2 linked regions of the Caenorhabditis elegans genome follow. The protein of the gene in region 1 purifies or fractionates together with the protein of each later gene. This does not show direct contact. Each region holds a gene or a part of one and is shown in the gene's direction. Other genes may lie near its edges.

Region 1 (3,927 bases):
ATTTAAATTTCTTAGAATTTAAATATTAGGAAAATGTATTTAATTAATTTATTTATTAATTTATTTACGCTCGCGAGGAGATGTGGAAAAACTTCATTTTTCAAATTTAATTCTTGTGTTTGAATATATTATTACTTAAACAGAGTCAGATCAACTGAAGTTGTCTGAATTATCGATAGAATCAGTCTATAAAAAGAAAAAAAACAGTATTAATTCTAATAGGAGCCGTTGAAAATGTTGTAAGAGCAGGCCTTTTGTTTTTTTCCAACCGAAAAATCTAATTTCAGGTAGTTCGAGAGCCAGAAATCGAAACAGTCAAACATTTTTAGTTCACCAGCACCTTTTTCTGTTGCTCAATAAAACCGGCGTTTTGTTTTCAATATGAATTTTGTGTACCTATTTGTTCACTACACCTTGAACACTGAATTTATATATAATGCCGAGTATATATATATATATATATATACTCCGAGTATATATATATAATGCAAAGTATATATATATATATATACAATATTTTAAAAATTAACTCTAGAAGATTACTCGCTGATTGGGGACAGATCAACAGCCTTGTTTTTCATGTTGTTTTTTCTTCATTTCTCACATTTGCCTAGTAGGTTCGCTCGAAAAGGTCAATGAGAAGTTTTTAATATTCTCATAGACAAGGAATTATTCATAAAAGTATATGTACATGTATTGTTGACGATCTACCCAATATCAAAAAAATTATTTTTGAACAACTAAGTTTTATTAATGAGAGAGTTGTTCAACATTCTTCAAAAATCCCAGTCGGGTTATCCCAAAAAAGAAAAAGATGATGATGATGCTCTTGGAGCACAAAAACGTAAAAAAATGTTTTATATGCCATTCGGTTCCGGCATGCATTCATGTGCTACCACATTGAGATGGTTTCACTTCTTTTGCACTGCTTAGCCCTGTGGAACGTCATATTTTGTTTCCAAAGTAAATTCGAAAGTCACGTGTCTGCTGTTCAACTTTTTTATTTGTTTTTTAGTTCAGTTGTCACATTAAGTCGTCAATTTTTAGTGAAAACGAAGATGCTCAACTGCTCGAGTTGAAAAGTTTTTAATGTGAAGTTTGTACCTGGAATCTGACAAGACGTAGATCTCAATAATCAGATAAAATATATCAAAATTCTTTTTGACAAGCTTGTAGTTACAGTAATTCAGAAAAATTTAATTTTTTATATTTCAAGGTTTGGCAAACTTGAAAATATCAACCAATTTTTTTTCGAGTAAACATTTTTCTAGGATGCTTTCCGAAAATTAATAAACTTTGCATGTTAAGAAAATTTGTAAATGAGATCCCTATTAAATGATTTTTTTAAAATCCCAAAAAGTAGCTGATTATGTGTGTTTTAGCAGCTGCTAACTTCAAGATGACGAGAGATCATTTCATGTTTGCGTCACCAATCCTAAATGATTACCATATCTTTGCAGATACTTGAAAAAGACAATTCATTGCTATTTTCGGAGGCGCTTTCCGGGCGACAGGCGGACGGGCGTGATACGTTCCCCCTAGACACCAATTTTTGAATCTTGTTTGTTATCAAGAGATCTACAGGAATTCAGAGTCTTAAAAAATTAAATGCAATAATAAATTTGACTTCCTAGTAGTATCCATCGAAAACAAAAAGTGTGAAATCAGTATCCAGATACATTATCTGAAATGTCTCCAAGGAAACAAACGTAGACTTTTTCCTAGTACACCAAACTCTTTTTTCTCTCTGTTTCATTTTTGTGTCCTTCATCATCATCTTTTCTTCTACTCCTCGAATAATTAATCCGAATACACCCTCGTTCATAGAGACGTGGCGATCGGGCGCCAGGAGCATGCGTTCTGCGTCTCTTATTCTTCCAATGGGCGGAGCCATAGGGGCTTCCACCACGCCCCATCACACAATCTAGAAGACTTGCTGTTGTGTTGGACTGACTCTCCGTATGTGGAGTGTAGAGGGCTGCTAAAGTTGCTCGAAAAAATTCGAATTTGCGCTCGGTTTTCTGATTATTTTTGTTCGGAGCAGTTTGCCAACCACTGGGGCAGGTGTTGTTATTTCTACAGCTGATTTCTCTCCTCTATCGTCTAAATCTCTTCTATTTCTGAAATATTCTGATGAAGAGAACGTCAGTCATAACCACCAAATGCAATAATGACCAAATCAACGAAACTTCGACACTGTAAACAGAAAAAGAAGAAACCGGAAAAGACTCCGAAGGGGAATCCGCCGATTCTTATAACCGAAAAGTCCATTGAAGACGCTGCAACCACTACATCGACTACAGATGCTCTTCTCGGATCACCCGAGGGCTCACGGAGCAAATCTCGAAAGCTTAAGCTGTGTTGTTGTACGGCTCAAGCAGCAACATTATCTCCTCTTGACCCAACTTCTTATGGTAATTGTTTGTTTTCTTCGACTTTTTTTTTGAATTTCCCATTGAACTAAAAATTACTATCAGAAAACCCATTCTGATGCTCGTAGAATCCTTCGCTGAACCCAAGATTAAGAGATTAATATCGAAAATGGCGCAATATTTTTTCTTCCTCATTCGAAAATGATTTCTATTGAAATAGGAAACAAATTCTTGAACTCTACATTCTGAATTCAGGTGGATTTTGAAAAAAAAAACACTTTTTAAAAAGAAATGTCTTTTGACGATTATTGTGTTTTTATTTTCTAAGAGTTTTTCCGCGAACCGTGGCTAGACCCATTAGGAAAAAGCCGATGTATGTTTTTAATTGCAAATATTGGGACTCCGAAGACTCCGAGGTGTATAGGCCGGTCCACATATATCTGAAAATTTTAAACTTGTACCCTCCCGAGCTCATCTAACCAATTAAACTTTCCACAGAGAAATATTTACATTCCCTATTGAAAGTCAGCTCACAAAATTTCAATTCAATTACTAATTTTCGAAAACTTCCTGAATTTTATCCTTTCCTCTCGCATTTTCTTATTTTAAGCTCGAGATTTTGTTTACAAACATTCCCCAATATCCTCACCCTCCTTGCCAAAAAACAAAAAGAAACAGATAATTCATCTTCCTCTCAAAAACCTTTCGACATGAAAATTAATAGTTTCCAAAAAGTCGACAAGTCTCGACATACCATGACTGGAAATTCGTCTTCTTTTTTTTTTGCTAACATGTAAAAAGAAATAGTGGAAATCCGGTTTCTTTGCCTCCAAGATGCTTGTGTTCCTTTTCTACCCGCTTCACCCGGAAACCCTGGAAGAGGTTCCCACGGTTTTTGGAGAATAAATTGCGATTTGAGCGAAAAAGGAAATGGCGAGAGAGACCCAGGGAAGAAGAAAAAATTCCCGAAAAGTGGTTCTACATGAATTTTTAATTTGAATTTGAAACAAGAAACATGCACGGAAGCAAATAGTGTGACTTATGAGTGGGAAAACGTTTGAAATAAATATAATGGGAATTTATTAGCAGCCGACGTCGTACGGGTTTTTTCTGTCGTCGACATCTTACGAGATTCAAAGCCCAATTACTTTATCTACTTGAAATTTTGTGTCTTAATCCTTTCAAGATTGTATTAAACTTTTATTTAACTTTTGCTTAACTGAAAAATGTCTAAAATGACGTTATTGTGTCCACATCAGATGAGCCCCGCCAGCCGAAGAATAGGTTTGAGAAAAATTGGCGAAATTCAATTATCCCCTCTGTTTTTCCGTGTCTCTATGTCTCTTTGTCTTCAAGTGAAAGAATGTGAAAATGAAGTGAGATGGGGGGCTCCGTTCGGGTCAGAAGAGCCAGCCGTTTTTTCTGAGCCAAATAGACAAGATTATCTTAAAAAAGAAAGAATTGAATCAAATTGAAAGGAAAAAAGAAGTGTAAAAGATAAAATCGCACTTGATTTCATTCTCCATGTACACTCATACTTTGAATTTGAATAGAG
Region 2 (3,927 bases), on another chromosome or scaffold:
CAAAAAAAAACTACAGTGTCGATTTACGGGCTGTCCCATTACAGTTTGATCTACAAAAAATGCGGGAAAATTCCCCCAATGTGACGTCAGCACGTTCTAAACCATGCAAATTCAGTTTAGAATTCCCGCATTTTTTGTAGATCTACGTAGATCAAACCAAAATGAGACACACTCTGACACCACGTGGCGCCCGATGAATTTTTATTTAGCCCCGTAAATCGACACTACAGTAGTGATTTAAAGAATTACTGTAGTTTTGGCGTTTTGCGCGTCAAATATGTTGTTCGAAACGCATTCTCGGAAATTTTTGATACGGTACCCGGTCTCGACACGACGACAAATTTTCGATAAATTTGAAAAAATGTGAACCTTTAAAGAGTACTGTAATTTTAATAAAAGCATCTAAATTTCAGAAAATCGTTATAAAAACTATGAACATTTTTCGAAAATCCGGCAGCCGGCAGCAACCGAAGCTACAGTACTCTTTAAAGGCGCACGAAATACGTTTCGGGACCCAAAAAATTCAAATTTATTTTGATATGGCTGAGGCTAGAAAAATATGTAGTTTGTAGTCTTTTTCCATTTTATTAAATACATTTTTTAAAGTTTTTTCTCACAAATAAAATCCTACTCATACGATTTTTAAAAAGTTTTTAAAAGCCGAGTTTTTATTTAATTAAGCTGACTACAAACTACAACATCTTTTAATTACTGTAGTTTGTAGCCGAAAAGTGCATTGCACTTTTTTTTGATTTCAGCATTATAATTATAAATTAGTATACTATAATAATAAGTACATATACATTGTCACCTGACATTTCCATATTCTTTTTCTTTTTAACCTCTCCTGCTCACACACTCTCTCATTTTCCCATTTCTCTTCCTGATGAATCGAATTAGTCACAGAGATGTCTAGAAATTTGGCGAAAAGAGCCGCTTGACTTTCCCTTTTTTGTTGCGAACCTTGAGTGAGGCTCAGGATTATTGTAGTTTGTAGTGTAAGCTTCACCAAAATTTTTACAAGCAACATGCTATTTACAAAATAAATTTAAATTTGGTTGAGGCTCCACACTACAAACTACAAATCTAGTTTAGCCTCAACCAACTAATTTGGTTGAGGCTCAGGATACTTGTAGTTTGTAGTTTCAGCCTCACCAAAATTTTTACAAGCTACATGCTATTTACAAAATAAATTTAAATTTGGTTGAGGCTCCACACTACAAACTACAAATCTAGTTTAGCCTCAACCAACTAATTTGGTTGAGGCTCAGGATACTTGTAGTTTGTAGTTTCAGCCTCACCAAAATTTTTACAAGCTACATGCTATTTACAAAATAAATTTAAATTTGGTTGAGGCTCCACACTACAAACTACAATTCTAGTTTAGCCTCAACCAAAGAAATTGGTTGAGGCTCAGGATTATTGTAGTTCGTAGTGTAAACCTCACCAAAATTTTTACAAGCTACATGCTATTTACAAAATAAATTTAAATTTGGTTGAGGCTTCACACTACAAACTACAATTCTAAGTTTAGCCTCAAACAACGAAATTGGTTGAGGCTCAGGATACTTGTAGTTTGTAGTTTCAGCCTCACTAAAATTTTTACAAGTTTTTACACTTTTTGTATTATACAAATTGGAAATTGGTTGAGGCTTCACACTACAAACTACAAATCTAGTTTAGCCTCAACCAACTAATTAGGTTGAGGCTCACGATTTTTGTAGTTTGTAGCCTGAGCCTCAACCAACTTTTAACACATGTTTTTGTCCGTTTTTCTCAATTTTTTTTGCTCTGAAAAATGATATTAATTAAGGAAGATGGGTGACTACGACTATCTCATCAAATTTCTCGCGCTCGGCGATTCGGGAGTCGGAAAAACGTCGTTTTTGGTGAGTTGTAGTTTGTAGTGTGTCAGCCTCAACCAACAATAATTTCAGCATCGTTACACGGATAACACGTTCACCGGACAATTCATTTCCACTGTTGGAATTGATTTTAAAGAGAAAAAAGTGGTCTACAAGAGTTCACGTGGCGGATTCGGTGGTCGTGGTCAACGAGTTTTACTTCAGTTATGGGACACTGCCGGACAAGAGAGGTAATCGCTATATTGTAGTTTGTAGTTTGTAGTTTGTAGTCTATGAGCCTTAACTGAACAAGAAAGAATTTAATTTTCTTTTTTTTTTTTGCGAAAAAAAAGTATTTTTTTTCCTATGTAGAATGTTTGATTGAGGCTCACACTACAAACTACAACTTTTCAAGCCTCAACCAAATTTTTATGTTGAGTGAGGCTGAGATAACCGTGTAGTTTGTAGTTTTATCTTACAATTCTTCACTCATTTTTCGTGGAAAATTTGAATTTCAACAAGATTTTCACGAGAAATTCGAATTTTTTAGTCTCTGAGTCGAAGTTTTCTCCGGAAACTTGAATTTTTCATCAAATTCCGCCACTTTTTGGATTAAAATTTGAAAAAAATGCAAAAATGTTGCATTTTCCGAGCTAATTTCGCGTTTTCGTCCACTACAAACTACAAAACTAGTTCAGCCTCTACCAAATACGTTGGTTGAGGCTCACACTACAAACTACACTTTTCAAGCCTCAACCAAAATTTAAAGTTGAGTGAGGCTAATTCTTCACTCATTTTTCGTTGAAAATAAGAATTCCAACCAGATTTTCACGAGAAAATCGAATTTTTTAGCAAAAAATGTGTAGTTTGTAGTCAAAATCTTGCAGATTCCGTTCTCTAACAACAGCGTTCTTCCGAGATGCAATGGGATTTATATTGATCTTCGATATTACAAATGAGCAATCATTTCTCAATATTCGAGACTGGCTATCACAATTGAAGGTATATTAGCGATTTTTTTTTCAGAAAATCTAAAAATTATTGATTTTTCTGAAAATTTTACTTTAAATTTGGCTGAAAAAGCTGAAAAAAAAACAATTTTTTTCAAAAAACCCCGAAAAATATTAAAATTTCCAGGTACATGCCTATTGCGAGCAACCTGACATTATCATATGCGGTAACAAAGCAGACCTCGAAAATCGGCGTCAAGTCAGTACCGCCCGTGCAAAGCAGCTGGCTGATCAATTGGGGTACGTGGCCGAATTTTTTCTCTTGTTTTTCTGCACGGCCACCACGTAATTTCAGGCTGCCGTACTTCGAGACGTCCGCCTGCACATCTACCAATGTGGAGAAATCTGTGGATTGTCTACTCGATTTGGTTATGCAAAGAATTCAACAATCTGTTGAGACGTCGTCTCTTCCGTTGTCAGGTATAGACTACAAAAACTACAAACTACAATAGATATTTGTACTCTATAGTCGTTGCCATTACCAAAAATAATAGTAACTACAAACTACAATTTCGGCGAAGCCTCAACCAAACTACAAAAATTGTTAAAATGATTGGTTGAGGCTACGTGAAAAGTGTAGTTTGTAGTCTCTTGTTTTTTTCACGCGAATTTTCTACTACAAACTACAATGTGTTTTGTAGTTTGTAGTGTGAGCCTCAACCACATTTTCACTACAAAACTAATTTTTTTTTCAGAATGCCGCGGAGTCAGCTTGGACGGAGACCCATCGGCCGCTTCTTCCTATTGTGCAAATTGCTGATTATCGATTTTAAGGTCTTCTAACAAAATGAAATAGATAGAATTTTATGATTTTGCATAATAATCCCTCGTTTTTTTTCCTTTTTTTCCTTAATTTTTAGTGATTTTTTCCCAATTAAATTTCTAAGCAGAGACTTTATTTATATATTTTTTCCAATTTTTCTTTTCTCTCAACACACACCCTGTCCTCATATCGTCTAAAGCTTTTTATTGATAAATTTGACGTTTTTCCTTTAAAAAAATTCCGCCTAAACTTATCGCCGATCTCTTTGTATCGATTTTGTAAAAAAAATTTTAATGAAAATAAATAATTT

What was found.
Region 2: the proteins of rbf-1 (region 1) and aex-6 purify together in Caenorhabditis elegans (affinity purification with western blotting, with the first as the bait; one study listed by BioGRID). This does not show direct contact.

The regions. Positions count from the first base shown.
Region 1 is NC_003281.10:6,673,818-6,677,744, forward strand, and holds the start of rbf-1 (Rabphilin-1), read left to right. Parts: upstream 1-1,942; 5' UTR 1,943-2,170; coding exon 2,171-2,414; intron 2,415-3,927. UniProt on the Caenorhabditis elegans protein: Rab-3 effector.
Region 2 is NC_003279.8:13,543,075-13,547,001, reverse strand, and holds the start of aex-6 (small monomeric GTPase), read left to right. Parts: upstream 1-1,813; 5' UTR 1,814-1,817; coding exon 1,818-1,889; intron 1,890-1,937; coding exon 1,938-2,095; intron 2,096-2,731; coding exon 2,732-2,846; intron 2,847-2,981; coding exon 2,982-3,094; intron 3,095-3,149; coding exon 3,150-3,274; intron 3,275-3,549; coding exon 3,550-3,614; 3' UTR 3,615-3,927.